Nothobranchius furzeri: one gene and its partners. The protein of the gene in region 1 binds, or shares a complex with, the protein of each later gene. Links are inferred from orthologs where the notes say so. Each region holds a gene or a part of one and is shown on either strand. Other genes may lie near its edges.

Evidence for each region.
Region 2: map3k5 (region 1) and dcp1a share a complex: the UniProt entries of both Homo sapiens proteins name them as parts of the cytoplasmic complex. The link is inferred for Nothobranchius furzeri from reciprocal best matches to the Homo sapiens genes MAP3K5 and DCP1A.
Region 3: map3k5 (region 1) and arhgef6 share a complex: the UniProt entries of both Homo sapiens proteins name them as parts of the cytoplasmic complex. The link is inferred for Nothobranchius furzeri from reciprocal best matches to the Homo sapiens genes MAP3K5 and ARHGEF6.

Annotation. Positions count from the first base shown.
Region 1 is NC_091742.1:11,439,853-11,449,760, reverse strand, and holds part of map3k5 (mitogen-activated protein kinase kinase kinase 5), read left to right. Parts: coding exon 1-141; intron 142-1,956; coding exon 1,957-1,974; intron 1,975-2,380; coding exon 2,381-2,558; intron 2,559-2,870; coding exon 2,871-3,039; intron 3,040-3,115; coding exon 3,116-3,301; intron 3,302-3,821; coding exon 3,822-3,927; intron 3,928-7,364; coding exon 7,365-7,611; intron 7,612-7,693; coding exon 7,694-7,806; intron 7,807-8,019; coding exon 8,020-8,141; intron 8,142-8,234; coding exon 8,235-8,311; intron 8,312-9,680; coding exon 9,681-9,741; 3' UTR 9,742-9,908. UniProt on the Homo sapiens protein: Serine/threonine kinase which acts as an essential component of the MAP kinase signal transduction pathway. Plays an important role in the cascades of cellular responses evoked by changes in the environment.
Region 2 is NC_091755.1:32,993,414-33,003,785, reverse strand, and holds the start of dcp1a (mRNA-decapping enzyme 1A), read left to right. Parts: upstream 1-5,028; 5' UTR 5,029-5,067; coding exon 5,068-5,196; intron 5,197-5,570; coding exon 5,571-5,611; intron 5,612-6,381; coding exon 6,382-6,509; intron 6,510-8,352; coding exon 8,353-8,419; intron 8,420-8,523; coding exon 8,524-8,662; intron 8,663-8,735; coding exon 8,736-8,768; intron 8,769-9,427; coding exon 9,428-9,988; intron 9,989-10,072; coding exon 10,073-10,285; intron 10,286-10,372. Other genes in the region: cacna1db (voltage-dependent L-type calcium channel subunit alpha-1D), read right to left, coding at 1-342, 2,963-2,990. UniProt on the Homo sapiens protein: Necessary for the degradation of mRNAs, both in normal mRNA turnover and in nonsense-mediated mRNA decay. Removes the 7-methyl guanine cap structure from mRNA molecules, yielding a 5'-phosphorylated mRNA fragment and 7m-GDP.
Region 3 is NC_091741.1:83,152,894-83,163,555, reverse strand, and holds the start of arhgef6 (rho guanine nucleotide exchange factor 6), read left to right. Parts: upstream 1-5,370; 5' UTR 5,371-5,512; coding exon 5,513-5,677; intron 5,678-6,642; coding exon 6,643-6,726; intron 6,727-8,300; coding exon 8,301-8,385; intron 8,386-10,662. UniProt on the Homo sapiens protein: Acts as a RAC1 guanine nucleotide exchange factor (GEF).

The DNA of each region.
Region 1 (9,908 bases):
TAATGTCACCAGAAGCCAAAGCCTTTATTCTGCGCTGCTTCGAACCCGACCCAGATCGGCGCGCCACCGCCTTCGACCTGCTCACGGACGAGTTCCTCACCGTGACCAGCCGCAGGAAGAAGAGCAAGAGCAACCTCAGTGGTGGGTTCAGTTCAGAAATTACCAGCATCTTCGAGATAAAAAGTCCTGGAAACTTGTCCTGAACGCAAAGTAATGGGCCATTCCCATCTGTACCGGGTCGGCCCGGGCCGGGTAGCGTAGGTTGTTTACATATCTGGGTGGCCTGGTATTTTTCCGGGCCAACCAAGGCTCATTCTCAGCCCTCTTCTCGAGGGGGTCTGCTTCAGGCCGACCAGGGCCAACACACCCACTGCTGACAGCAAATTCACACCTTCCATTAGAGCAAGCCTCTGATTGGTGGGTAGAATCAGACCACATGGGCTTAAGACAAGGATGTGTGGAATCAACCGGGCCAGGCTGGGGCCGACTGGGGCTACCCGGCCCGGGCCGACCCGGTACAGATGGGAATAGCCCATTAGATTCCTCACCAGCCCTGCCCACAAAATCCAACATGGCAGCCATGCAGTTAAAAAGGGGCGATAACTTCGCCACAGCAATCAACTTTATTTGCACCATCAGGCGCTTTTCCATTGTTGGAACTTCAGGGGAAATTCTGGATGGGGAAATTTACCGTGAGATACGACAGCATATTGTGACTGCTTCGGCAGGAAGTGACGTCACTGATCAGCGCCACAAAGCATCCACAGTTAACTCTTTCACTGCCAATGACTTAAGTCGTCATTTGCATTTTTATTATTTTTTTTTACTGTGTGGGTGTCGGAACGAGCCCCCGCACCGTGAGAACGAACATCCAAGCTCTAAAGCAGATCTTCATCCACGTACGTCACACGTCACGTGATCAGGAAGCAGAAAACCCATGTGTTAGGAGATCTTTTTGGGCCGCTACTGTAAAAAAAAAAGTGAGGCGCGAACCGGAAAAGCTTCTGACGATACTTTGGACGTGCCTGAAAATGTCCGTTAAGTGGAGACACGCACATGCTGGAAAGTTCCTGTAAATTTATCCTGAAGTTCCGACAGTGGAAACGCACTTGTTAGTTTGGAGCAAGGCTCTCCACTCTTTGTTCTCCAGGTCCACTATCCAGCATGTTTGAGTTGCTTCTCTACCCCAACACACCCGATTCAACCGTTGCATCAGGTGTTCAGCAGGTCATGAAGATCTGTACAAGCCTGATAATCTGCTGATTAAAATCAAGTGTGTTGGAGCAGGGAAACAACTAAAACATGCTGGATAGGGGGGATCTTGTGGACTAGGCTAAAACGTCTTAGCGCAAAGCTAACATTTAGCTTGGAGTTAAAAGTTTGCAGAAATGGTATTTAAAGAAAAAACACAATCTGCATTCTGCACCTGAAAACCACCACGTATCACTTAAATAACAGCAAACTAGCTTGATGGATCGTTTTATAAGTGGGGAGGCAAGTTCAAATACTAATTTCCCTCCCGTTTGAGCCACAGCTCTCAGCTTATCAGTTTCATTGTGCTTTTAAGTTTAATCTTTAAAGCTCTGAAACTAGTTTTTTACTTAAAGCACTAAAACATCATTAATGCATAATAATGAAATTACTAGAAGTTTTGCAGCTTTAATTCCAAAAAATAATAATTAGTAATGGTTCACTTGTGAACTCCTCGTCAGTCTGGACTAATTATTTTATCACACAGCTTTTAAAAGACTGAAGCCACATCCTTCCTGTTTTTCGTAACATGTGAGCATGCTCCTCATGGGGTTTGCACCCCGCAGCGCTGATGCAATCATGTGCTCCGGCACCAGTGCACTGCAAGCTGCTTGCTCGGAAACGTTATCCTGCCAATCGTACATGTAAATCCTGTTGTTTTTCTCTCAAAAAACTGCTGACTCTTGGTTTTTTTTCTCCTTGCAGCTCCTTCCTCGGGTGCAGGTGAGTAACTCAGCCCTCTGAACATGTTTTTCAGACATTTCTACCACTACTTGATGGACTTTGTAAATTAAACTTCAATTTTACAAACTCCTCTACACTTCACAGACCTCTTTTTTGTCAAAGAACTCAAAATAGATGTGTTTATATTCTGTTTTTATAAGTCAAGGACAATTCTTCTTATTTGTTGCCCAATAAAATAATAAAGCTCTTCACCTTAAACACAAACTCAGAGTAGTTTGCTTTAGTGAGAAACATTGTCTACCTCAGGTTAGAATTATTGTGCGTGTGCGTGTGTGTGTGTGTGTGTGTGTGTGTGTGTGTGTGTGTGTGTGTGTGTGTGTGTGTGTGTGTGTGTGCGTGTGCGTGTGCGTGTGCGTGTATGTGTGGTGGAAACCCTTCTGCTCAGAGTACCTCCGTAGCATCTCCCTGCCGGTGCCGGTGGTGGTGGAGGACACCAGCAGCAGCAGCGAGTATGGCTCCGTCTCCCCTGACAACGACCTCAACACCAACCCATTCATCTTCAAGCCCAGCGTCAAGTGCTACAGCGAGAGGGATGTCAAGGGGCCCAGGTCCCTCTTTCTCAGGTAGAACACTTGAAATGGACAGAGTCGTGGCTGCTGCTTGCTGCAGACGAGTTTCACGCATAGCCTCACGACTGTGAAACACTAAACCAGTTGTCAGTATAAAGGCCAAAGCAGGTTTATTTCAGATTAAGGTCTGAGAAGTCTTTAACAGTGGATTTTCTAATGTAAAAATGATACAAAACAGCAGAAAATTTTGTTTTTGAACAGATTTACGAATTACGAGCCATCTAACTAAATGTCCATAGGTGTCCTTAAGACTTTTGCATATAATAAAAGAACGCACTAAACCAAACCGCCGACTATTTATCTCAGCATTCCAGTGGAGAACTTTGAGGATCACAGCGCTCCTCCGTCTCCCGACGAGAAAGACACAGGCTTCTTTATGCTCCGCAAGGACAGCGAGAGGCGAGCCACGCTGCACCAAATCCTGACCGAGGACCAAGACAAGGTTGTGGCCAACCTGATGGAGGCCCTCACACAGGTTGGGAATGGAAGAAACTAACAGGAGGGCCAGGGAGACGCAGTGTTAAAATCTTCTGTGGTTCTCTGACCTTCAGGGCTCTGAGGAAATTAAAGTAAAACCGCAGCACATCTCCATCCTCGTAGTGAGTCTGGCTGACTTCATCCGCATGGCCGACAGGAAGATCATTGCCAACACCTTGTCTCAACTCAAACTGGACCTGGACTTTGACAGCACCGCCATCAGCCAGCTGCAGGTCATACTGTTCAGCTTCCAGGATGCTGTAAGTTCATCACTACAACAGGGAGGTTCGATAAATCCTCCTCTAATTTTCCCTTCTGGGAATAATCAGTCCATTGAAATCCTTGAAATGACTTTAAATAGCACCAGATTAAAACCCAAACATCACTCCTCCTCCATGCCTGAGTCATGTGACTTCCTGTCTGTTACATCCCTGTAGAGCTCTGGGTGTTTTGTTGTAAATGTTTTACGTCAGGCAGCAGAAGCCTGTCTGTTTCCTTTTCCTCCTGCGCCGAGATAATAAAGTAAAAATGATTCATAAGCTTTAAGAAAAGAGGTCTTCAGACAGGAGGAACTGCACATTCTGCAAACAGGCTCATCAGAAATGCTAAACGAATAACATAAGAGAAAATGGTTGTTAGTGTATTGCATAATCTGAGGTGGGAAAATGGAGTTCTGACGCCCCCTGCTGGTCATCGATGCACCCAGAGGATTTTTTATGTGTAGTGCACGACTACTTAGACTTGTAAATATGAAAAGTTTGTTTTCCTTTATGTTTATAGGTGAATAAAGTGCTACGAAACCACAACATCAAGCCTCATTGGATGTTTGCTCTGGACAACATCATCCGTAAAGCAGTGCAGACCGCCATCACCATCCTGGTGCCAGGTAGTATCATCCATGTTTAGAGCAGAGCACCTCTAAATGAATTATCCCTCCCTCCAGCCCTGGGCCAAACTGGCAGGATAAATCCAGGGATATGAAGAGGGAAGAATATAGAGCTAAAATGCATTATAGATGCATACTTTTTGCATGCTGGCTGTGGTTTTTAGAAGTATTCCTTGGCCGACGCCACGACTCTCACCTGAGTGTTAAATTGTTCATTAAAGTGTTTCTCTTGGTCACGTTATCTTTGATTTAAAAAGTTGTATTTTGCACATTTGGAAGTATTTGCAAGTTTTTATCCTTGCTTTGAGTAAAGTTATAATTAATTACAGATTAGCCGTGGTAGATGGCTTCCTGAATTGCCTCTGTTTGGAGAAACAGATTAGCATCCGTTAGTAGAGATAGTCTTCTTAGTGTAATTATTTATCATCCTAAAGTAAGAAAATCTCTATATTTTTTAAAATAGTGATATAATTTCTAACAAAAACAAGATGACCAAGTAACATTTATAACAATATACAACCGATGAAATGCTAGAGTTAGCAGGCATCGCTACCACTAGCTTGCATGGTCATCCATTGTTGCCCATCCAGTTGATGTTTGCAGACAAAACTTAGAGAAAGTTGTTGTCAACATTAAATGTGTGGTTTACTCGTTTATTCAATACATTTGCAGTTTTCTCTAATGTAAATCAATGCCTTATGAGTCATGAGATGCAGATGTTTGCTGGTGAGGAGGTGGACTGAAAACAGCAGAATTGCTCATTATTATTAATGATATGCACACACCTTGCTTTTAATTGGCTAACAGAACGTGTTCAGCCATGTTGCACAGGCACTATCACCAACACACTCTGCTCTCTCTCTTTGCTGCAAAAAAAATTTTTTAAGCCTTCCAGTGGGCAGACGTGAGTCAAGATGGGAGAGGCCATGAATGCAAATTCACAGTGTGACATCACAGTGTGAGGATTTTCAAATCCTAGCATTTCACCATCTATTTTCTATCAGAAGCTAACAGAGGAGATTAGTGTGGGAGATTGTTTTCATGTTCAGCCTGCATGAAAAACTCAGTGACCGATTATAATTAGAAATAGTTTAAAAAAAAATTCAGTCAACCACACCTTTAATCAAAACCTTTGGGTTAATATTATGTCCTAACCTTTACACTCGGCCTCACAGTTATTGATTTTCTGGGGACATCCGTTCATGTTTCTGCAAGGTTTTCCACCGTGATTGTCCATGTTGTCGTTCCTGAGTATGGTGTCGAGTCGGGCCAAATCCCCACTCTTAATCAGCAAATGGGTACAGCAGCTAAAATACCTAAGAAACGTACCTTTCCCTGCTCGCTGTCATGAGTGAATATTGTGAGATTCGTGCCTTGTTTGCCTTTCCAACTTTAATAAAGCCACGCTGTATGGCCCACATGAACAGAATCCACTGCATAGTGGATACATTTACATCATGGTATCATCATGATAGGTTTTTTCTAAGCAAGACATAATTACTAGTGGTATTGTGAATGACCTGATACACCCATCCCTAGGTTGAATTTAAATTGTTGTACATGAATTATAAATATATATTAAAAATAGTGCCTTTGTTACCTTTTTGCCAGCTTTTGATACAGCTCTAACAACTTGATAGATAGATAGATGGATAGATGGATAGATAGACTCCATGTCCAGATTAAATTACAAAAACCATAAACAAGCTACATAAAAACACACTTTAAAAAAATGTCGTTTCTTATGGTTCCAACAAAGATGATAAAAAGCTACTTGTGCCTTAGACAGCTTGCCAGTGTTTCCAAAGCTCAGACTGATGGTGAGCGGCACTAAGGTTAACGTTTAACAACTGAATCAATATATGTTTGATGCATTTAATCTGCTGATGAAATTCTGTAGACAATGAATCACATCTTGAAGGGGTTTAACTTGTAAACAATTTACAGGAAGAAAAATATTGAGACAAATATCATAAATCAGAATTTTGCTCAAAGATACTGGATTGTAAGTTCTGGTCCATATGGCTCAGCACTACTTTTAAGTAAAACTTTAGTTTCTCACACTTCCTACTGGTTGGAAACAGTATTGCAATTGTTGCAACCAGCAGCCTGCTATAGCTAGCGCTAAAAATGAGCTAACGCTAACACAAGACTACTGATACTAAAAAGGCCATGAAGTAAAAAGATCAACACTTTTGGACAAAAAATGATTACTCACAAGTCCATTAGCAACAAAGCCAGGTCACCATCAGGCCGTGATGTTGTAGCTTCCTTTAGCTCCCTCAAGCTAGTGTAGGCCACGCTGATGTTCACTCTGGTTTTTGCTCTTTGCGCCACTTCCAAAGACATTAGTCTTTTACTTTTAAGTCCAGGTGTAGCACATTTCAAATTATCATCGTAGGTAAGGAGGAAGACTCAGGAGACACCAGTCTGGATACTGGAGACATTGGTGCCAACCAGAACTCTGGGCAAACCTTTAAAACAGTGGCAGAAGGCACAATTTAGTAATACAGCTCTATTTAAGTGCTAAAAAATGTAGGAAAAAGTACATTAGCACTATTCAATGCATTTTTACTGACAAAAATTGTTCTGATTCATATTCCTCGGTCATTTACATATTTTCACAGCTTACCAAGTTATTTTTGTGTTTTTAGCATTTCATTTTAAGTATCAGAGCTTAAACAGGTGCTAATTTAAATCAAAAGAAAAAAAAGAGGACCTCAGTTTACCAGCATACAGGCTGCTTATCTCAGCTAGCAGGCTGTGCACATGGCGAAAGTGTCTGTGTAACACTAATTATGCCCCCTGTGCAACAGTTACCAGAGAGGAACTATAATATATCAGCACCACTAAATGTATGTATGAAAAAAATTTAACGTTACACAATGACCCAAAACCATAGATGACATAAAAAAATCATTACTGAAAGTTTTGTGAAGGTTCATTTCACCAACCAGAAATATAATCGTGCAACACAGGCTCCGCCATGATGCCAACAAAGAAGGAAACAACTTCTTCTTGTGCTTTTTTATTGGCTGTCTGCAAACTGAAACAGCTAACTGCTGCTAGCTATTATATGAGCTATCAGCAGAGTGAAGAGCTGTTGCTGTAAAGCAGGTAGAGACTTTTTCCACCGGTGCCAACCAAAGCCATGAAAGTTGTTAAAGTAACAGTGAGTAACCTGTTCTAACTCAACAATCAGTCAGACCAATGTTAAAACTATCAGGTGTTACTTCAAAGGCAGTTTCTGGTCTAACGTTAAGTTACTCAAGTCTCTGGCTTAAGAACCACTGGAACCAGTTATAAAGCAATAGCTCAAAGTGTTAAAAGCTGGCACGTTCATTCATTCAGTTTAACTGTATTATCACTCATTGAGTTCATCTTGTATTTACTTTCTGACTCTTTTTTTTTAAGCGTGACTATGTGTGTGTTTTCAGAGCTGAGGCCTCACTTTAGTCTGGCCTCAGAAAGTGACCCGGCCGATCAGGATGACATTGGCGATGACGTTGAGCCTTGCAGGAATTCCAACCACCAGAGTCGTGCGCCCAACATCACCGCTCACGACGACACGGTGGCCACCTCGGGAGTCAGCACACTCAGCTCCACCGTCTCCCACGAATCATCCCACAATGCACAGCGCTCTGTGAGCATGGAGCTGGGCAGGATGAAGCTGGAGACCACCAGGTAGACACTGTTTTATGCCCACTGCTTCATGATTCACCATGCTTTTTTTGTTCATGTTTGGTCATCTGTGGAATAATTTCAGGCTGCTAGAGGAGCTGCTGCAAAAGGAGAGAGAGTACCAGGCCATCCTGCAACAGGTGCTGGAGGAAAGAGAGCAAGAGATCCGACTGCTGAGGATGAGATCTGAACCTGCAGGTCTGTTCTTTCATGATTTATTTGTTTTTAGACACTCCCTAGTGGCCACTTTTGGAACTGCTAGTTTATTTATATTTTTTTTTTTGTGCCTTAAATGGTTTCCTTAAAGATCAAACTAGATGCATACGTTTTTTATTATTTATTTTTTTTATTTTTGTGCATATATTTGCTGGTGGAAAATTCTGATTATTTGAGTCTTCATTTCTATTAAAGATACCCCTGCTACATCAGAGGACCTGCAGCATCCAAGCGGCCAGTCCGCAGAAAGACACGAAGACCCAGAGCTGACCAGCTGGCTGAGGCTCTGTGGTGCTGACCAGAACTCTATAGACATGGTGAGTTTCCCTCGTTCCCAGATTGGAACATCGAAGCGGTTACTGCCGTTTGATGACTGGTTCCATAATAGCGTTTTCTTTTTGTGTCTCTAGATACTGACCGAGGAGTACACCTTGAATGACATCCTACATTATGTGACAAGAGATGATCTGAAGAGTTTAAGACTGAGGTAGTTAAACAATAAATACATTTAATTTTTTATTCTTTATGGAACAGTTTCACTTCTGTTCAAAGTCATACACCTGAGCAGTACAGGAATACAGAAGTGAAATATGCACACTTTAACTTTGTTTCTTTGTATTTTCCTCATTGACATGTATGATAACCAGACACAGAAGTAAAAAGATGGAAATTGTGGTCAACACCATACAGCAACCTGGGCTTCTGTTGCACCTGAGTGTTACCACTGGCCTCTGTCACACTGCAATGATGCAGGAAAATGTTGATTGCACAGAAATAACAATACCTTTTCAGAAACCTGGCATTTCTCTTTAAATTATCATTTTTGATTTGCTTACATATAATATTCACAATTTCTGAGAAATTAGAATTTTGGGTATAAGCCACAGTCATCAAAAATACGAGAATTAAAGGCTTGAAATATTTAAATTTATATGGAAATAATCTTTATAATATAAAAAATTCATGTCTTAAAATGAATGACACAAAATATTAAACTTTTTTCAAAAAAATGATCTAATTATTTTAAAGTAACACAGAGCAGTTTCCTGCTCCTCTGCCCTAGTGGTTGAAAATGGGATTACAACTATTGAAAACAACCGTGCTGCAACCTGCTGTAGCTAGCGCTAACAACGAGCTAAAATGAGCAACTAATACTAAAATAAACCACAAAGTAAAAAGATCCACACTGTTGGACCAAATATAGTGTTACTTACAAGTCAAGTAGCAACAAATCTAGGTCACCATCAGTTTGTGATTTTGTAGCCTCCTTTCGCTCCCTCAAACTAGCGTAGGCCACGTCTATGTTTACTCAGATTTTAGCTCTTCCCCTCCAAAGACTACTCTCTTACTTTTACTTCCAGGCTCCGCCATGATTCCAACAAAAAAGCAAACTTCCTTCTTCTTGTGCATTTTACTGATAATCAGTAAACTTAAAATGCTAACTGCTAGCGTTACAGCTAACAGCTGTAAAGCAGGTAAAGAGCGCCCCCTAGGACACATACCCATGCCACAAAACTGTCTAGTGCTCTTTTTGGCCAGCAGATGGCTGCAGAGTGGTGTCAGATATGAAACTAGTCAAGTTTGTTACTCAACAATCACTGAGATCAATGTTAAGGCTCTAGCTTAGTTAATACAATTTAATGTCACTTTAATCAATCTGCATGTGTAAAGAAAAACATAAAGATGAATGTTTATTTGGCACCCCTAGTGGGTATTAAATGATGGAAGCGCTTACATTATCTATATATATATAAAACTCAGAAGACAGAAACACTATTTTATCATGTTTTAAATATAACTGAAATAGTTACTTCCTGCTTTATTGTAACCGCCTCTTTATTGGTTGATCTTGCCAGGGGTGGAGTTTTCTGTAAACTATGGAAGGCCATCACAGACCACAGGCAGAAGCTGACCTGAAGCCTTAAGTGGAAACGTTCCCTCCCAGAAGCCAACCGTTCGGGATGCTTTTGGGTTTGTTTGTTTTTTACCTCAGTATTTATAGGAACAAGACTTTCCGGAGAAGCGCTCGTGTTTACTGTAAGCACAGGGCCGCTTCACAAGTCTGCAGGAGTATTTTGTCATTT
Region 2 (10,372 bases), on another chromosome or scaffold:
TCCTCTGCGCCAGTGAGCCAACAGGAGCTGGACCTGCGTTGTTGAGCGAGGGCCGTGAACTCACGTCAGGTATTTCAGCATCATCCTGCGCTTGTCGAGCTGCAGTTATGGCAGCATGCCAAGCGAGGACCGGACTGACTCCAGAGCTAACGCCACCCTGACCATGAGTACCACTGTTGGCCCCAAAGAGGCCGTAACAGGAGCCAACAGGTTTTCCTGTGCTGGCTGGAGCCTGAATGGGTTCCGGTGAGGTGAGATGGTGCAGATTGGTACGGCTTTCTGACCAGAGTGCAGGGGTGTCAGTGGAGGGAGTGGTCCGTCTGTTGCTGGCATACTGTGCCCCTGGAAATGTAGGATGGGAAACACACAGAAAACTTAATTTACACAAATTTTACTGCTGTAAAAGCAAATGTGCAAAAATATTATTAATGTTAATGTTTGAAATTTCTGGACCATCATTTTAAAATTAGTCTTGCTTTGTTTTTGAAGCTCTGGAGCAGATTTTGTATGATGGTTAAGACTTGATAGTTCAACAACTGCCCAGGCTAGATTAAATTTGCTCCTAATTTAACCTCATATCAGCCACTTACTTGTACTTCACATTAAGGATGCACTACAAGCCCTGTACTTTTTGCATTAACCCTAGTCATTTTGCATTTACAAACACAGTAAGATGTGACATCGCTGAAACCTGTTGATTCAGTGTCACGGTCTGGGTTTTTCCCCTGAGTGGTTTTTGAGTTTCCCTCTGCAGGTGGGTGTGTCGGGAGGTGGCCAAGCTGCAGATCATCAGCTCATCAGCCGGTCAGGTGTACCTGAGAGACGCTGTCACTTCGCTGGATGATTACTCTAACCTGGGTACCTCCTAACAGCCACTTGAGAAAAGTTATTTTGAGTATTTTTAGTATTCAAGCCTTGATTTTGGATTTTACATGCCTGATCACCCCTTGCCTTTCTTTTATGAAGATCCTCCACTCCCATCTCTGACCGACTGAATTTTGGATATCTCTACACACTGCTCGTCTCTCAGACCATCCCTGACCTTCCACCTCCTGTTGCTCCCCCACCAAGACCCACCTGTATCTGGACTTCCTCAAGACTCAGCTCCCTCAACCTCTTCCACTGGATTCCTATTCCCTGTAAGCCCCTCCAACCCAGACCGGACCACCCTCCCTCACTCGAGCCGTTATGCATAAGACCTTAAGTCCTCCAAACCCACAACCTCCCTATTGTTGTTTTGAACTGGACCTTAAACTGCCTTTGTCTGCAGATTCCCGCACCAGATCCCTGTCGGAAGAACTCAGCTTGCTGCTCCTTTAAGTTGTCTCCCTTAATAAATTATTGTTAAACTTTCGCCTTTGTCTGAGAACTGATTCTGTATGTCGTGGGTTAGTCACTTACCTCACAACATGACATTCAGGGCCTTAAACACATGTTGGGTCTAGAACTGCAACCAATATTGCAATTACAGATAGAGGAAAAAATCAAAGTCAAAAAGTCTTATGCAAATGATAGTTTTTTGTAAAGCAGAGCATGAAAAATAAGTTGTCGGTTACGGTTTGATCTTAAATGTGTTCCTGTCTGACTCAAGCTTGCTCCATGAGGTTTTTCCTGATTTCATCACTTACTGAGTTTACTGAAGATTAAAAAAATGTTTAAAGCATAACTCAAAGGAAATCAACAACAAAAAAATCAATCTCATGTTATGCAACTTGTAATTTAAGATTTATGATCAAAAATCAAATGTCATCTGAATGCAAAATAAACAAAGCAGTTGACGTTCTAAAACTTGCCAACTGACCTCTGCAAACCAAATGAGAACCTGGTTGCAGAGCAGCAATAATATCTCCACTGAGTCATGACCACAACCTCTAACCTGCATCAGCATCTTTGATCCTTTGTGTAAAAACAAAGCTAGACCCAATTAAACCTTGACACAAATAGTTTAATTTCTTGTTAATCAACATGAGAAATAAACTGTCAATAAAACACAAATAAGAGCAGATTAATCCTTTTTACAACAAAGATGGAAGCAAAAGAAAAGGTAGTCCTGATGTTCAGAGAGCTGACTCTGGCTTAAAGGATTATCTGTGTTTCAGCTCCACAATTTCACGTTTCAAAAGTTAAGTCCGTCAACGAGGATCAAACTTTATTATAAAGCCATCAATGTAAAAGTATTCCGCTACCCAACAAGAAATGTTAAAATAGAAAAACACTGGAAAGGATGACAGAGTGGGAGAGGACACCATGACTGAGGGACAGTCATTAAATCAATGCGGACCATGAGTGAAAAAGACAGTGCCCTTGACAGTCACTTTGATACGCTGCAACTCCACATTAGTATGAAATCAGGGTCTACACACCATAAAATCACCAATATTTTATGTCATTGGAAGGAAAATAGGGATTTTATCTGACCAGTTGAGAAAGACAAGAAGTTCAGAGAAACTGAAATATGACAATAATACCTTAATTTAATGATATACAAGCTCTAAACTGTGTTTTTGTAAAACTAGACAGACAATTCAAAGATGGGCAATAAAGTCACAAAATAAGCCTGTAAAACCTCTCTGCACTTCTCTTCAGTTGTGTTGAAGTTGATCATTTTCACTCCCTTAAACACAGTTTAAAAAACTGGTATTACTTGAAAAGTGAATTAGCCACCCTGTGTTTATTCTATAAGGTAAACGTATCCAAACCAACATCCAGAACCATTAAAACAACCATTTGATCACATTACAACCTAGTCAACCATGTCTGACAACAAATCCTAATGGGTTTAAATCTTAAGCGTTATCACAAATACACATAAATGTCACACACACCGGAACTAATATGATATATAAATCAAATCAGCAGGATAAACGACTCGGAGAATAATCAGATGTGCTGCGTTTGTAGAATAAACCAAACGAGCGCTCTCGCCCACTCAGCTCTCCAACTCCCCGCGCGCAGATTTTACCTTCAGTCTGTTCATCTGCTTCTTGCATCCTCGAATCCACATTGAAGAGATGCGTGTTAAATCCAACTCATCGTTGGAAGAAAACACCTGTAAGTGACGACGGAGCGGAGCCGCTAACCTGATTTACAAAGACTTTCCCGAGCGCAGATCCTGAGAGGAGCGCCGAGCATTTTCCCCACATCCGGGTGCCTGGTGTGGATTCACGGCGCATCCGAGAGGACGAGCTGTGAGCGGCGGACCAGTCTGCTGTCAATAAGTCTCACCGTGGACTGATGACAAGTTCCAGCAGTAGAAAATAAAACAAGATTCTCTATAAAGGGTTTAATTTTCCTGATTATGATCTGGAATCGTTGTAACCAATCAAAAATGTCAAAGAATTTATTTATTTATTTATTTATTTATTTATTTAAAAATTATTATTATTTGCCGTTTTTTTTATCCTTGTGTCAAAGATCAGCCATCTTGGGTCGCAGTCTTCAACAAAAAATATCTGATTTACTTACTTCTTTTAAATAAAAACATGCATGTCTGCAGACACATGCATTTCTTGGTCATCACCTTGGTAATAAACTGTATGGTTTGCCCTGTCTGACAGATAAAATGTACTAAATCTTTGCGCACTGTCTGGACTTACCCCTCAGGTGTCTGCCCCTGATAATAAACCGCATTCTGTCACCTGTTCCTTCTTCGAGGCCTCATAGCGCCGATCTGTGTGTTCATTCTACGGCGATTCGTGAGGGAATGGGTGGTTTGGAGCTCTGATGGAATGATAGTGATTGGATTACCTGCATTCAGGGTAAAACAGATTCACGGTAGTGCGTAATCCTTAGATTATAATCCCCGTTCCCTAAGCATGAGAGATAGCTGCATGCACCAAAGCTAGGGTCAAATAATAAACATGATTTTTTAAATAGAATTTTCAGACACTTTCATTCACTTATTAGCAGTTTAGGATTTGAATAAAAGGAAAATCTAACTTTGACTTCATAACAAGGAAAATAATGCAAGTTCTTCTCAAATAGGTCTGAGTAATAAATCTGAAATTATAAACTGCATTCATAAAACCATGTCAGGCGTTGTGAAATATTGTTCTGTTTTTGCTTTCATTTTCTTTCAAGATTAACAAAATATATACCAAACAACTTGGGTAAATAAAATGATCAACAATAGAAATTTTAGGCGTAAAAACACAAGTTAAAATGAAAAAAACCATTGTGATGTGTACATATTTCCATGAAACTTGAGGTAGGAAACATATTAGGCTACATGAAATTAACATTATAATTGCAGGCTTTTGCATTGCAAATAGCTACTGAACTCAATTTTAATAATAAATAACTCCAAATTTTGATCATCCAATGAATGAGGTGTGAACAAGTTGTTAAAATAGGTATCTATTTCCGTGTTTTTCTGCTTCACAGTTTGTTGCACATTGCTAAATATTATTTTGGTGGAAATTAAATATGTGGGTTAAAAGTTTATTATCATTTTTATATTTTAAGAAACCTGCAATCACATGAAACTTTCTTAACCCTCTGGAGGCAGGCGCTGCAGATTTGCAACAGTTAAAACCTACCTAACTGGTTACTCCACATACGTATTTCATGAGCATTTTTTTAACTCAGATGTATCCCTGAAAGACTTAGTTGTTTGTTCCTTTATCAAAACTTATTTTGAGCCTGAGAGGGTTAAATGCCTAGAGTATACACATTACATGTATTCCCTTAATTTGAACTGGCTTGCATAAAAGTCCAAAAAAGTTTGAAACTTGTTTTTCTAATATCTCAAAGGATGACATTATGTGTAGGAAATAAGCTTCAACTTCAGTTGGCAAACTACCTTTTCAAACTATGTTCACATTGTTGTGGGTTTGGTTTCAGACATATTTTTTCTGCATTTTCTCTCAGAATTTGCAATTACATTGTTTTTATTATTATTATTATTATTATTATTATTATTATTATTATTATTATTATTATTATTATTCCCCGCGGAATTAAAAAAACTCCTCTGGGGAACCTTTTCAGTGGTGGGATTTCCGTAAATACCGGAAGTTATAGGTGTTTGCAAAAATTCGTCCGTGCGGCAGAAAATCATAAGCAAAGATGGCGATTAATGCTGGACATCTGATGAGTTTAGCTGCTTTGCAGAGACACGATCCATACATTAACAAACTGCTCGATGTTACCGGTCAGGTTGCTCTTTACAACTTCAATTCAAAAGCAAACGAATGGGTAAGTAAGAGAATTTACCCTGGAAAAGTTTCGGGAAATATTTGGTGGAGAGCCAACAAAGCTAGCTTCACACTTAGCTTCTGAGCTTTGATTCAAAACAGAAAATATTGTTGTTGTTTTTTTTTTGGGGGGGGGGGTTGTTTGTTTGTTTGTTTTGTTTTTTAAGTAAATGTCTTTATTTGTTTAGTTAATTAAGATAGCGTTGTCTAGTATGTTGTTTTAACGCGAACACAATTAATGCATCTTAGGTACTTTCTAATTGTAAAATTTAACGCCTTATTAGCTTTCAGTTAGCTTATCACCCTCGCTAAATTTATTTAGCTAGTTTGGATTTGCGGTTTCTAGGTTTGAGTCGTTATCTCTATTTGTTCCAGGAGAAAACCGAAGTTGAGGGAACCCTGTTTGTTTATGCAAGGTAAGAATACCTGAGAGCCACGATGGTTGTTCCGCCGTCTGCGCACGTGAGGCCTTGAAATTTGTAAACAAAGATAAAGTGGACTCTGTGATTCAGTAAATCGAACGTAAATTACAGTGTTTAGAGATTGAAACTGAAATATTATGTTATAACGTTGTAATAAACTTTATTTTTAATCAGTTAAAGCATGAAGAACTAAAACGACCACCTACAAACTTTAGTTATAAGGAAATATAATAGACTTTATTAATTTTGTGGGTAAATTCACTCGTTACAGAAGCACATACACTTAGAGAATAGAAGAAGAAAAATAACAAAAGTACCAGTAAATACACAAAGGCAAATCTTTCTGTTAAAAAAATAAACAGGACACGAATTTGTTGTAGGTTACTTTGAATTGGACTGGGAGCTACTTAAATCAATAGTAAAGTTAACTGCTATCCTTTATATTAATTACTAGCACAGTAAACAGCTCCTGCTTTTTAGCAGGTAGAGACCTCCCACACTTGTGCCGACCCAAACCATAAAACTGTTAAATGTAGTTTCTGGTCAGCAGAGGGCTACTGAGTGCTGTCCCATGTGAAGATGTTCAACTTTATGGCTGAAGAACCACTGAAACCAGTTTGAAGGCAATAGCTTAAAGTGTCGAAAACTCTTTAGTATTGCTTTAAATGGTCAATTAAAAACAATCAAATGTGGAGTAAATATTGTACCCAAAGCAATGTGAAGTGCAATTAAGGAGGTAATGTTTTTCCTGGGTCCTTATGAAGGTCTGCCTCCCCTCACCATGGCTTCACCATTATGAATCGACTGAGTGCACAGAACCTTGTTGAGCCCATAAATAAAGACCTGGAGTTCCAGCTGCAGGATCCTTTCTTGCTCTACAGAAATGGAAACTGTGAGTGTTTTGAAGGAAATGAAACACTAAAGAAGTATTTTTGAAATATGTTATTTTTTCTGTTGTATTTTGGTGTGTTTGTGGTTTTGTTTCAAGGTGACTTAACATTAAGGACTTGTTTCCAGCACAGAAAAAGTGTTTAATAAATCTGTAAACATGTTTAATGACTTCTGAACCAAAATGAAAATACATTTCCTCCTAGTATAATAGCTTATTATTATTGTTGCTTTGTTAAATTCTGTTAGTCACAAAATGCTCATTATTTAATAGAAATTTCTGCAATTTTGGCATTTTCATAATTTTCCTATTTGAAGCATTAGTGATATCTTCACTTTTACATACAAATGTGTGTATTAATTATATTAACTAGCACAAACACTATTATGATCCTTAATTATATTAACTAGCATAAACACTATTATGATCCTTAATTATATTAACTAGCATAAACACTATTATGATCCTTAATTATATTAACTAGCATAAACACTATTATGATCCTACCTGTGAAAACAATAGACAGATATCTCCCCAGCGTTCGATGGAACACCTCTCTTCCATATTGCTTGAAGTCATTGTGACGTCTTGCAGCATCAAGCAGGAACACTTTAGCACTCATGGCCCAAAATGGCCAAACAGCAACTTCAGCTTTGCTAGTGAACAGTTATCTTTCTGCATTTGGGCAACCGTCTCAGAGTTAAGTCTCTGATTGGTGAATCCGACCACTAAGTTAATCCAGCGATGTCCTCCAGCCTTGTGACAGAGCAGTGTAACAAAAAGGCCGCAAAGTTTCTCAAATCTTCAAAAAGTAGCTGACTGCGCTGCCTCCAAGGTAATCTATTAGAAGTCTGAAGAGAAGCTTCATCAGGGCAACGAACAAGGAGTTAGAATGCTTTCCCATTTGTTTGCTTATAAGGAAAAACAGCATAGCCAGGGTCAAAGTTAGAGTCGACGGCTCCCCTTTTGGAGTTGGTTTGCACATCAGCCTGGCTGGGATCGAGGACATGATGAGGTTGGTATCCCAGTAAAACCAGCTTCTCGGATAACTTTACTTTAGCATGTGTGCTAATATTGTTGTTTGGTGGAGTTGCAGGAAGATAATCTTCAGGTTTCTCCCTGGCAGCAGACAGTCCCTCGCACACACACAGTCCACTAGATCTCAGTGTGCTGACTCGTTCTGTAGCCTGTTGCTGTAAAGGTGTGGCTGTATGAGTTTAGATTTCCCAGCTGTGATCCTGAAAGCGAGAGTAGTAGAAGAAACGATGAAGACTGAGCTGGCATAAAAGCAGGATCAAATAAAGAGCACAGGTTAGACACAAGTACGGTTAAATCTTCAGAGAGATGGTGATGATTAACAAATATATGAGTGTTTCTTCAGTCTCCTTTGAGTGCTTGTGAGCTTGCAGCTCGGGGCTATAGACTGTTGGAGAGAGACATACTTGTTTACATGGCTTCATATTCCCTTTGGTGGCTGGAGATGCTGCAGGGAGGCAAACTCTTCAGTTGCTAGGTAACCACAGCCTCCCTGGGGGATGGTATATTCACCAGTGTGTTGGTGCAATCCAAAATCACATAAGTGATGTGGTAACAAGTTAATGTTTCTGTGAAAAATGTAATATTTAATCACTAAATCATTTTTGGTTTGTGTCAAATTTGATGTTATTTTTTTCTGTTCTCTATCTGCTGCTTGAAACAAAGATGCAAATCATGCAGAACCGAGTCCTTGACACAGCTCTAAACAGCTTTATTCAGTCATCACCCTAATTCTGTGCTTTAATCGACAAATTGTAATTTTTCAGTTTTTTAGGCAGCTAAAAATGTGTTCTTTGTTTTGTTTTTACAGTGGGAATCTACAGTATTTGGTTTTATGACAAAAAGGACTGCCAACGCATCGCTCAGCTGATGGTGAAGTAAGTAGGTCAGCACATCCATGCTGTGTTTGTGGATATGGTTTTTGGGGAAGTTCTGTAAATAATTAGAAGTATTTCATCAGTATGTTTTAACTTTGCTCCAGGATTGTAAAACAAGAAGTGGACCACGCCAAGAGGAGGAGCCCAGAGAGAGCAGAGGCAGGCAGAAGCAATGGAGTCGCAGAACCGCGGCCCATCGACATCCTGGAGCTGCTCAGCAAAGCAAAGGAAGAATATCAGAGAGTAAGATTTTTAAAAGATGTTTTAGTTTTTCTTAAAACACCTGATCACTTTGTCTTTTTGTCTTTTTCTGAAGACCCAGTCCGGGGAGACAGAAGTGTCTGCAGAGGTGAGCATGAAAGCAACAATCAGTGATGATAAAGAACACAACACACTTGAAAAGATTCATTATGAGTTCTGTTGTTTTTATTACGTCCTTTAGAGGTGATGACAGAATGTAATAAAAGTTTTGTATTTGTTTGATGTTGACCGCAGAAAAGTTATGTTGTTTTTTATTATGCGAAAAGTGGTTTAATCTTTATTTTACTAATTACTTCCTAATTTTATCTGTTTATAAATGATGTGTAATGGAACAAATATAGAAATAATAGAAATTAGAAATAATAGAAATTAGTTGTAATTTTATATAAATACTTATATTTATTTAAGTTATTTGTCATTTTTAAAGTAATAATGGTGGGAATTGTTGATTTCTTTATTTGTTCTGTTTTGGGCCCTGTTCCTTGGTGATTTTGACGTTTTTCTTTTGTATTCCAGATTTTATTAATGTCTCAAAATTAGCATCTTAGAGATAAAAATCTTTTTCAGAATTTAAAGATGTCACAATCTGCAGCAGATTGTTGTAAAACCATCGATTGCTAAAGTTTATAATGGCCAAAACTCATCATTTAGTTAAATACTGATTCTAAAAAGGGGGCAATGAAGGTGATTCTCAAATAAAACATGATCATAAAATAATTTATAATTAACCCTCTTTTTTTAATGCAGGGCTTTCATACGATGGTGAAGCAGATCACAGTAGAGGAGCTCTTTGGTTCTTCTCTTCCTAAGGAACCCTCTCTAATGGCCGCGCCTTCACACAACAGCACAGCTTCCACTGATCTTCCTACTGCCTTTGTCCAGAAACAACCTTATCCGCCCCAGCAAAGTCCATGCATCCCCTCTGTCTCCAACCACCAGCAGCAGAAAGGCTCCGCCCTAATCCCAGCTCCTTATGTGCTGAATCACAGTCCTGTTTTCCACTCGGTGGTTCCGAGGCAGGACCCCCAATCCCAGAGCTCCATCTCCTCTCTTATGATGTCTCCATCTGGATCTGAGCATCTAGCTACTCCGTCTGGGCCCATAGCTTCTCCAGTCACTCCCAGCTCCTTTTTGGGGCAGGATCTAGTTGGCTCGCTCAAACCAGCTGCATCGTCTGTGAATTCAGGTGTTCACAAACCGGTCCTTGCACCCAGCTTCCTGCCAAGCGCTCTGGTTCCACCTCATAGCTTCCAAGAATCCAACAAAGAGGTTTTCTCTCAGCCTCCTAGCCTGATAAACCCAGTTCCTGTGAGTTTGTTAGCTGGTGGCTTTTTGTCTCTATATCTTTCTCAGCTGGTTATCCACAAAATTTCCTTTTGTCTCTGTTCCCAGGCTTTCCCCGTGAGTCCAGCTTTAGCTGTCCCCGTGTCAGAGATGTCTGTGCTTCTTTCCCCCAGCGTCTTTCAGCAAACCACGAATAAGAGCACATCAGCACCCATGGTGCCTCCTGCTTCCTCTGAAGCGTCCTGTGCCTCTGGACGGGCTGTAGAGTCTCTACCCTTCAGTAAAACCCAGCTACAGGACACTTTGATACACCTCATTAAGGTACAGTTCCGAGAGGCAAAGTTTCATCTTTGATGCTCAGAGTTAAAAAGAATGAGTTGAATTTAAGCTGAATGATGGTTGTTTACT
Region 3 (10,662 bases), on another chromosome or scaffold:
TAAATTTATTATTGATTTGTAAACATTTAAAAACAATTATAAATAAATGCTGCAAAACAATAGCCAAGTGTGGCAGGCAGATGAAGTTACACATGCTGCCTGTACATTAAGGGACTGATCCGCAGGGGTGGATGTGATTTTAGTGTTAATTTTTTTCACATTTTCCAAGTTTGCAGGTATGTTAACTCATTAATTTTGCAAACTCTGGGTGCTCTGGTCTGATTAGGATTTTCAAAAGATCGGAATTGGGTGGAAAATGTCAGACTTAACTTTATAAAATGACAGACATAACTAGAGGTTGACCGATATTCGTTTTTCAACAGCCGATACCGATATGAGGCGGTCGTGGTCAGTTGATGGCCGATATCTCAATGTTTGGCACCTTATTCAATTCAATTTAAAAATACTTTATTAATCCCAGAGGGAAATTGATTGCTGTAGTAGCTCAGAATAATAATAATCAAGTCATAAAAGAGTTATTGTATATTACAGTGGCTGTTGGCAGGAAGGATCTCCAGTAGCGGTCAGTGTTGCAGCGAAACTGAAGAAGCCTCTGACTGAAGACACTCTTCCGTTGTTACGACAGTCTTGTGAAGAGAATGCTCAGGGTTGTCCATCATTTTCTTGATTCTCTGGAGAATCCTTCTTTGCATTATCTCCTCCAGCAGTTCTGAAACTGCCGAAACTCTGGCTGAGTCCTTGAAAGGGCTTGGAGTTCCTCCTGTTGGCCAGTGATCTCACATTGCCCATTATGATCGACGGAAGAGATGGTCATCAGATTGCTAAAGTTTGTTCAGTCTTTTTAAACATCTTCATGTGAAATACCCTTCAGTATTAACTAACCCTTAAGTGCTCTTGACTCAGCAGCAGCTTCTGTGTTAGCCTGGAGATGGGTACACCAGCTCCCAGCTCACCAGCCTCCTGCTAATTTCACACCCTCCTTTCCTTGGTTTGGCTCCATGACTTGCTGCCATGCTGGATCTGACTTTGGTTCAGCCATCAAACAGAAACTAAACAGGAGAAACTGTTGTTGGTGTTTGTGTAGAGCATCCATCTTCAGTCTAGCGGAAAGAGCAGAGGAGGACTCATCATATTACAGTCCATAATAAATATAATAAATATTAGAGAAACGTTTAAACAACACTCATCTATTAATGAGTGCAGACGCTGCAGGACTATCTCCTCTCTAACACACGGAGTGAAATTCTCTGACTCCCGTACAGGAAAACAGTTTAATTTATAAAACTGGAGCTAACATGTTAAGCAAAAAAGCAGCTGAGAGTTTAAGACGGTCTCTAAAGTTGACAACAAGCTAGCCTAGCAGGTCTCCGTGAGAGGGGGAATCTCCGTGAATGAATTAATACCGGAATATTTTCGATGAATAATAATTCAGGTAGATGGCGGGAACAAGGAGGAAAATAGTTTACAGTTTTTAAAACAGTTTCCAGCCCAAAGCAGAAGAAATAAAAGGTGTGAAAGTTTTCAGTTTATTCACAGGATCAGTAGGGCCGGGGGTAAACGATTATTTTTAAAACGATTATTCTGACGATTATTGAGTAGCCGACTAGTCTAATGACTAGACAATTAATCTAGTGATTTTTTTTATTGCACAGTTAATAAAAACAAAAAAATCTCAAATAAATTCCTCAAAAAAATTGATAAATTTTTACTGTAAGAGAATAAACACTACAGGCCTTCCATTTTGTATAACACTGCTTTTATTTTGTTGGTTGGTTATGTTCTGGTGACATGTAGAACTTAAAGAGTGCAGGCTGTTGCCTGAGAGGTGGTTGGAGACAAGTCTCCATACTGCTTTGTTTTGGTCACTTATGTGCGTGAGGCGAGTGGTGTTACGACCCTTCCTGGGGAGTTTGGCTCATGTGCAAAAAGGAAGGGACAATAACACGGGATTTAAAAGTTAAAATGATGATCAGGTTTATTTACAACTACAAAAAAACATAAATCTTTCCATCTACAGGTTGGGAATAACAAAACTAATTCTGCCTGTCTGGAATTAAAACAAATGTACAAATAAGTAGCGATGTCCCACTGGGCAAAGATTACTGGGTTCTGGACCAAAATAAGGATCTCCAAAGGTCCAAACTCTAAACTGGGTGGTTAAACCAAACTCAAGGTGATATTTTAACCTAAACCCGAAAACCCACAACACTAAATGTAATAAAAGGGAGATCTGCACCACAAAAAAGATTAACTCTAAACCAAAACGTAACCGCTTATCCAAACGCAAGAAGCTGTTAGCAAAAATGCTAACAGTAGCTTTACCAACGTTAAGTTCAAGTTACCAAGTTTAAATAAACCAAAAACACCCAGCAGCAAACAGACCAGCACGGAGGAGAGACTGCTACCACCAAACCAGCTCTCCTAATGTCTGAAAGAAGCTCCTTTATGAAGGGAGAAACGCTCCCGGTGATGTTCTACATCTGCGGTAGAGACGAAGCAGCGCATCTGACCCCGGAAGTTGTTGTCCTTGCCGGGAGACGAAGACGGGCAAAACAGGAAAGGAATCTAGTAGCGGACGGACGTTGTTCCGGGTCTTCGGTATTTGGCGGAGATGTTAGTGAAGGCGGAGAAGAAGGCGAACTAGAAGAAAAACAGGCAGATTCCATCTCTATTTACAAACTCCTGGGGATGCAACAAGTGGGCGTGGCGCGTCGACTACCGGATCTGACGTCGATGAATTTTTAGAATCGAGCCGTCGACGCTTCGCTACAGCCCTAAGGATCAGTATTACATCACAACTCCGGTGCTCCTGGTTTCGGCTCCACTGAGTGTGACTTCTTGTCTTCTGCGCATGCGTGTCGCTTTGTGGCCGCGGAGCGTTCACACTGGAGAGAGTTTGATGTCTCATTTCAGTCATAGTGTGAACGGCCACAAAAAAATTTAGATTCACTCCAAAAATCGGAATTGAGTACAAGGCCTGCAGTGTGAACGTAGCCTTAGTTTCACAACCATCGTGTTTTTTTAGAACCCCGCTTCATTGTGAACCTGATACCCACTAGCATTAGCTAATCTGCCCAAACTTTGGACTGTTTCTGCCTTTGTGTCTTACATGCTGGTTTCTCTGTTTTCCTCCACAGCACCTAGATTAGCACATTGTGCGCCAGTAAAAGGCACCTTTCCTACACAATCTAAAGCAACTTACCTTGTTCAATAAAGGGGAAAAAGTAACTTGAAAAGATGTCACACCAGTGCCATGTCTAAAAATAGTTTGTCGCACAGAGTTTTTTTCATTGCACGTGAGACATATATGTTGCACTGTACAGCCCTGTCTCCTATTGCACCTTTAAATTAGCTTGGCAAGTCATCGTAAATATATGGCCTTCCCACGACCCATAAACTGAGCTCAGTCGTTGGGCTCAATCTATGGTATGGGTGACAGTGGCACAGGAGTTAAGTGCTCGCCCCGTAATTGGAAGGTTGCAGGTTCGAGCCCCGCTCAATCTGTCGCTTTTGTTGTGTCTTTGGGCAAGACACAACCCACGTTGCCTGCTGGTGGTGGTCAGAGGGACCGGTGGCGCCGGTGCTCAGCAGCCTCGCCTCTGTCAGCGCACCCCAGGGCAGCTGTGGCTACATCGTAGGTCATCCCCACTGGTGTGTGAATGTGTGTATGTATGGGTGAATGAATGACTGTGTTGTAAATCGCCTTGGGGGGTTCCAGGACTCTAGAAGGCCCAATGTCAAATACAGGCCATTTACCATGTGTCTTTAAACCTGTCTCCACATGCAATATACAACGCTAGCACCAGTCAGTAAGCTTAGGCGGTATCCACATTTTAATACATCCAACTTCCTCCACATTTGACCACTTTTACTGGGACTGATTCAAAAATGATGTTAGCCTCAAGTGGAATTACCAAACTGTTCATTTGGACTTTTGCCGTTCAGAAATTGTATAACCAACACCATTACTAAAAAATAACATAACGCACATAATATTATTGCAGCATATAGAAAGATTATTTGCTTAAATAACCAGATTGTTTACCTTTTCTGGCTTCAACATAGGATGTTGTAGAACGACAGCTGAAAACTCCCTTCGATGAGCTTGTGGCACAGACATACGGGTACTTAAGGGCTAGTTGCGACATCTGGGAAAAACTGGCAGCTTATTTTCCACCAGAAAAGTGTCTCTTTTAATAACATATTCCAAACAGAAGGTTGCTATTTTAGCTCCGGATCGCTCCTGTGCTGACGGGACCTACGTCTTTAGAGGTTGTCTTTTATTTAGCTCAAATGATCTCTTCAGTGTTTAGAGGCTCTTCTTTTAAGTTTGCTTTGTACCTGAAATATTCCCAAACAGCATAAGTTGTTCTTTTTAGACACCCAAGTGGACTTCTCAGCGTGATGACATAAAAATAAAGTCATCACGACATCGTGAAGACTTTATGGAACATCTCAAAATTTGGACACATTGTAAACCATTTAAAAGAACTGTAAATTCAACCACTCATCTGTTATATACATTTACATAAGTTACATTTATTTATCTTTATTTTTCTTAATCCTTGTCTCCTACGTGCAGTTTATTTTTTTCATGATGGTATTGGAACTGACACGGTTTCCACTCTACAACAGCAGACTTGTTCATGCTGATCCAAGCTATTCAGGGCTTTTTTGCCCTGAGGGCTGCTTGCAAGGCATTCATTTCTACCAGAGGCCACTGCAAATATATTAAACCAGTTTCCCACACCTATAAATATCTTTGTTGGCACTTAATATTTGGTTCTTTTTGAAGTTTTTGAGTTGTCTAAAGCATAAAAAAGAACAAATGTACATTTTTTTCTTCAATATTTTTCAGGTGCTGATCCAGCTCTGTGCAGGTGCTGGATGAATCAGAACTGGAGCAACTTAAAGTGGGAAGAATTCAGGAGTTCTTTAAAAAAAAATCTTATTATTTTTTAATAAATATTTTTCAAAGAGCAGTGGTGTCAAGTTATTATGTTTTTTAAAATATTGTTAAAATACAGTTTATGTCTGCCTTCAAAATGTATGAATGTTTTAAACTGGTTTTGTAAAAATTATTTTAACGGACCAATAAGAGGTAGGCCTAGATTGTTTTTATGGTCGGGTTTAGCAAAGTTGTCCCCATCCTGCAAATGTAAATATTCATAAAACTCATAAACACTGAACATACCTATTTTGCTTTTATTTTACATGCTCGCTAATTTGACTGCGTTATTACCAAATACACATTTTTATTCTGGATTAGGTTTCCCCTCTTGCATGATGTGATGAACACCAAACATATTAGTTTTCTGAGCCTTACTTCCTGTGATAAAGTCAACTTGCAGGAAACGTGTTGTTGAGGTTCCTGTATACCAGTAGGGGTGATCATCAGTTCTGCGTCCTGAACTGCGTCGCCTCTCCCCCCACACAGCCTTTTTTTTAACTTGCAGAAGTGCGGATGTGAGCTGCATATTGATACCTACGGAACAGGCCGCCAGTTTTCTTGTAGCTATGCGGGCTTAAGCAATGGTCGTTCTGCGGAGCTATGAATCCCGAAGAGCAGACGGTAACGTGGTTGATATCGCTGGGAGTGCTCAGCTCGCCCAAGAAGAACATAGCGGACCCGGAGGAGTTTCTGAAGACATCACTCAAGGATGGGGTCGTCCTGTGCAAGCTCACGGAGCGGCTCATACCTAGCTTCACTCCCAAGGTGAGCTGCTGATTTATCAAGTAAATGGAGAATGATCAGCAGAGATTTGGAAATAAGGGAGGGGTTTGATGAAAGCGATACCGACAGGAACTTCTTGCACTTCACAGGCTCAGCTTTCTGTTTGCGAGCTTAGAGTTTCAACAGCAAACTTAGTTCTTTCGCGTAGTGAGTGTTGCGTTGGATAACGGGAGCATCTAGTGAGTTTACTGACGAGGGGTTTTCAGTAAGTGGCTTCCTGTGAAGAGATAAAATGTTACGCGTTCTTGATCTGAGTGAATAGGTCTATCAAGGCTGCACTAAACGCCCCCTGTTAGGGGTAGAATGGACAGAGGGTTTAATTAAAGTCACGGAATTTGGAATTGTACTGTGATGCATGTGTATTTTAATGTTAAGTCTGGCGATAAGAAAGTTGATAGTGATAACAGTTGCAAATTCAGGTCGTCACTTCCTCTTGAGCGGCTGCTCTTCCCAGTGTGTACGACCTCCCCAGAGCAGAAGACAACCGGAAGTTGCTGCTTCTGCTTTACTCGACTCACTCTTTTTAGCTAGTTTCGTATCTTTACTTTTGTAGTTTCATGTTAGACTCAATAAAAAAATTCCGGTTAATTCTAAAACCAAATAAGTATTTCTTCTTCTAATGTCTCAATCACCTCGTGCTCGTCAGTAGCACAAGGCGGACTTTTATTTTGAAGGGCAGTGCTGGGAGCGGATGTTTTGCTTAAATATGGCTCTTGGCGTTTCACTGGGGTTTATGGTTATGTCTGCATGAAGGAGACGCACGAAGAACCAAGCACTGTTTCAGATCACGAGCTCACCATTGTTGGAATGCCACTGCATCGTTATTATAATCACAAATGGAACTAAAGTGATGCTTGAAGCGGTTTAATGTGTGTGTCTGATGACTGTTTGGCACACTGAACCGATGGACAGTCTGTGTTTATAACGTACTTATTCCGTGTGTTCAGTATTGTCAGGATCCCAGAACTGAAAGCGACTGCATTTCCAACATTAAGGAGTTTTTAAGAGGATGCTCGTCCTTGAAAGTTGAGGTGAGTTGACTCGTTTATTTTATTAAAGGTGTGTAATTATGATAATAACATAAGTTTTTTTTATCTTCTTTATTCATCCCTGGCTATTGCAGTTTTCAGAAATATTTGTTAACCATCTTGAATGTGTTGTGATCTGCTAAGCACGCTGACATATGGTGTCATGTTTATATGGATCATGGTAGGGAACTCACTCTAAACTAAAAGAGAAAGATAATTGATTGCATCACGCTGTATAAGAAACACAAACACGAAGTTTACTTCCTCACAAACTTCTCTTTTACATTAAAATGCAAATGAATAAATGTTTGGGCGCAGGCTGAAAGCTCTCAGAGACATCTCTAACTAGCCTGGCCAGCATGCCTCCTTCTGTGTAGAATTAAACAGAGGACGAGACTGGCAGGCCAGGCTATCTCTTAACTGTCCTGGGTTGCAAAAGTATGTCCTATAGGAGAAAGAGTTGAATCATTTGCAGATGTTAGGAGTTTCTTGGTTATTTTACCAGCAGCTTCCACAGTGGACATTAATGACGTTTCCAGTGTTATAAATAACCTGTTTTGGTTTTGAAACACATCACTTGGTTTCTTTAAACAGTTAATTGAGTCAGCAGGCTTGGCTTGCTTTAGTGGTTGAGTAGTTCTGTCCAGCTGGGTTGTTATGTCTGGGAGGTCCTGTTAGCTTTTACCCGCCAGCTCCGCTTTAGCCCATAATTAGACCTTCTGCCACCAGTCAGTAGGTCAGTGGCAGATGTTTTCTGAGACGCTGTTGAATGTGTCAGCCAGAGGATGTCTGTGTGACTACTGGAGCTGGCCCTTACCTCAGTGATTATGGTTAAAGTATTTCTATCTTTTTTTGCTATGGCATTAGTGGCAGCTCACTGTGACTACACACACACACACACACACACACACACACACACACACACACACACACACACAAAAGCAGATATACTGCTTTCACTTCTGCTCTTAGATAAACAAAGAGGAAGAAGCACCGATTACTGATCAGGGCCTGTTTATTCACTCTGTGCTCACATTTATGATCGTACACCTTCACTGACATTTAGAATTGTATAGCATACTTTACTGCTACTTTCATAATTAGCATATTAATACTGATTAGTAGCCTTGACCTGTAATCTGTTTTACACACACACACGCACGCACGTTCGTACGTACGTACGTATGTATGTATGTATATGTATATATATATATATATATATATATATATATATATATATATACATATATATATACATATACATACACATATATACATATGTGTATGTATATGTATATTTGTGTATATATGTAATGTGTATATATGTATATAATGTATAATGTATGTATGAGCTTGTATATACGTATATTTTTAGTTTTTTCAGTTTTTGTTACAAAGTAAATTTTCTCTTTCTCCACCATTGTGTGTGCAATAAAGAACCAGAACTCAGATGTGTTCCTCTGTTTGAAAAGGTCTAAATTTGACTCTAGGTTCAGCCTCTTCCAGCTCAGATGATCGGGATACGTTTAGGTTTTTCTGGTCTGACTGCATCTTCTCTGATGTTTTCTTCCCCCCAGGGTTTTGAACCAGAGTGGTTATACACTGGGGAGAACTTTGGCAAAGTCCTGAGTACTCTGCTGGCAGTCAACTTTGCCACACAAGGTAACAGCTTTGCATTTTCTCTCTGCTCTGTTTAAAACCATTTGGTCGCCCACACCTAAAACATTAGCTTTGGCTTTAGTGCACATTAGCCACTGAATTGTTTTCATACGCTATCACTAAAAGCTGGCTCGTCCACGTGTGACAATGATGTCATGGTTTCTGAACTTCAGTTTTAAACAAGTATTGTTGTTTCAGTAAACGAGAAGCTGCTGTCTGCATCACTAAAGGTTTCATATTGTGTTGACAGATGAAAATGACACCTCAGAACTTCTCAGATGCTAAGCTCTCACCTGTTCTTAGATAGATGGTGATTTGAAAAAATTGGTCAGTGTATATCTTCTTTAAGTGTCATAACTGTACCAAAAGTATGCACCATTAATAAATGTCTTTAATTGAAATGGTTGACCAAATATACCAGTTTTAATGGAGAATGCCTTGAATGGTGTTTGGTGCATTGTGTCCGAGCCCTGCTGAAGATCTTTTCTCATTGAGCTCTTTAAAAATGTGGATCGACAGCTGGCAGAGCAGTGTGTGTTTGTGTCTCGCTGTGTTGCAGGTGTTCTTGAGCAGTTTTTTCACTGTTCCTCAAACAGTGTCCCATGATTGTTTGTATGTATAATACTGGCTGCATGGTGGTGCAGTGGTTAGCACTGTTGCCTCGCAGCACGAAGGTTGCAGGTTCGAAACTCGGCTCAGCTGCGGCCTTTCTGCGTGGAGTTGCGTGTTCTCCCCATGCATGCGTGGGTTTCCTCGGGGTACTCCGGTTTCCCTCACAGGTCACAACATGCCCTATAGGTTATAAATTGTAAGTCGCTTTGGATAAAAGCGTCTGCCAAATAAATAAACATAAACAAACTGTTGCTGCCTTGTCCTGAATTATTGTAGACGTGCTGAGAAATCATCAAGCGTTTAAAGGTGAGAAACGTATTCTTTTTGAAATATGATCAGTCACTGAGTTTCACGTGCAGGCTGAACATGGAAATCTCCTGTATTAGACACTTAAAGCAAATAGACGGGGAAATGCTCAGAAAACGTTTGTTTGTTTGTTTGCATAACATGAATATTAATGAGAATACTCCAAATCCTGCCGTCCACCCCCTATGCTCGGACAAACTTTTTACCCCTGAAATGGAGGTGCCAGAGCCTTTCTTCCACAGAAAACCACCCAAAAGGCATTCATTCATACTAGAGAGACCACAGCACATGTATTGAGAAAATAAACAGATGAGACCTTTTAATCTTTTTTCAGTATTTGCCTTGAAATGTATAATTAGTCATGAAATTGGTAAAAACAGTTAAATCAATGTTTCAGGGCTGCATGATGTTACCTGAGCCTTACCTTGGAAAAATGTTACATTCATCAGTGCCCAATTTATTAAAACTGGAATCCATTCCAGTGTAAACTCTGATGGCGTGGGTTTGTATTCAGTGTTGACTACCAATCGATATCCAAGTGTTTCACAGGCTACAACTTGCAGCTGCTCTGCTGATCTTTATAAATGGATTAGTAGCAAGTTAAATGATGCAATCCATCATAAAACATTGTTTTATTGTCATCTTCATGTATTTTGCTTCACGTCTTTACTCAAGATGTGTGTTTCATAGATTAAATGTTCTGAATGTTGTCAGCATATGAAAACATGGTATTGCTGGACTTCACTGTGTGAGGGGAGCCACACGTGGTGTTCATGAAGCCCACCTGTCACTGTTTCAGTGGTATTGTACAACTTCAAGCATGATCGGCAATAACAACTTTACATATGGAAAACACCAGCGCCTCTCCTGCTTTCTCCATTTTGAACATATATCAGGTTCCTGTTTTACTGCTCATAAATGCAAATATGCTTTAGTCCCTGTCAGTTTTATTTCCCCACAGCTGGACTCTTTATTTGATCTGAATTTAAGGGCCATGAGTCTAATTGTTCATCACAGCCTGTCTTTATCTTCTGTGATCTGAGCAAGAATTAGACCTCAGATTTGGATTTAGTCCAGTTGGCTTCTGATAGGCTCCCTTCTGTGAGGACTTCTGTTTGTAAGCATGTGCGAGGTTTGTAATCCTGCCATGTGTCACTTTTTAAATGTATCCTGGCAGCAGACAAGATGAAAAGGACCTGTCCATGTATCTCTAGAGCTACAGGACTCGGTACTGCAGGACAGCTGGCAGCTACTCGTCCTAAATCAAAGCTCCTCTGCTGCAGTGGATGAGTGATGTTACTGCATGGAAGGGTTGAGCATCTGCAACATAAATTACATTCTGCTTTTCATCTTGTATTTGTC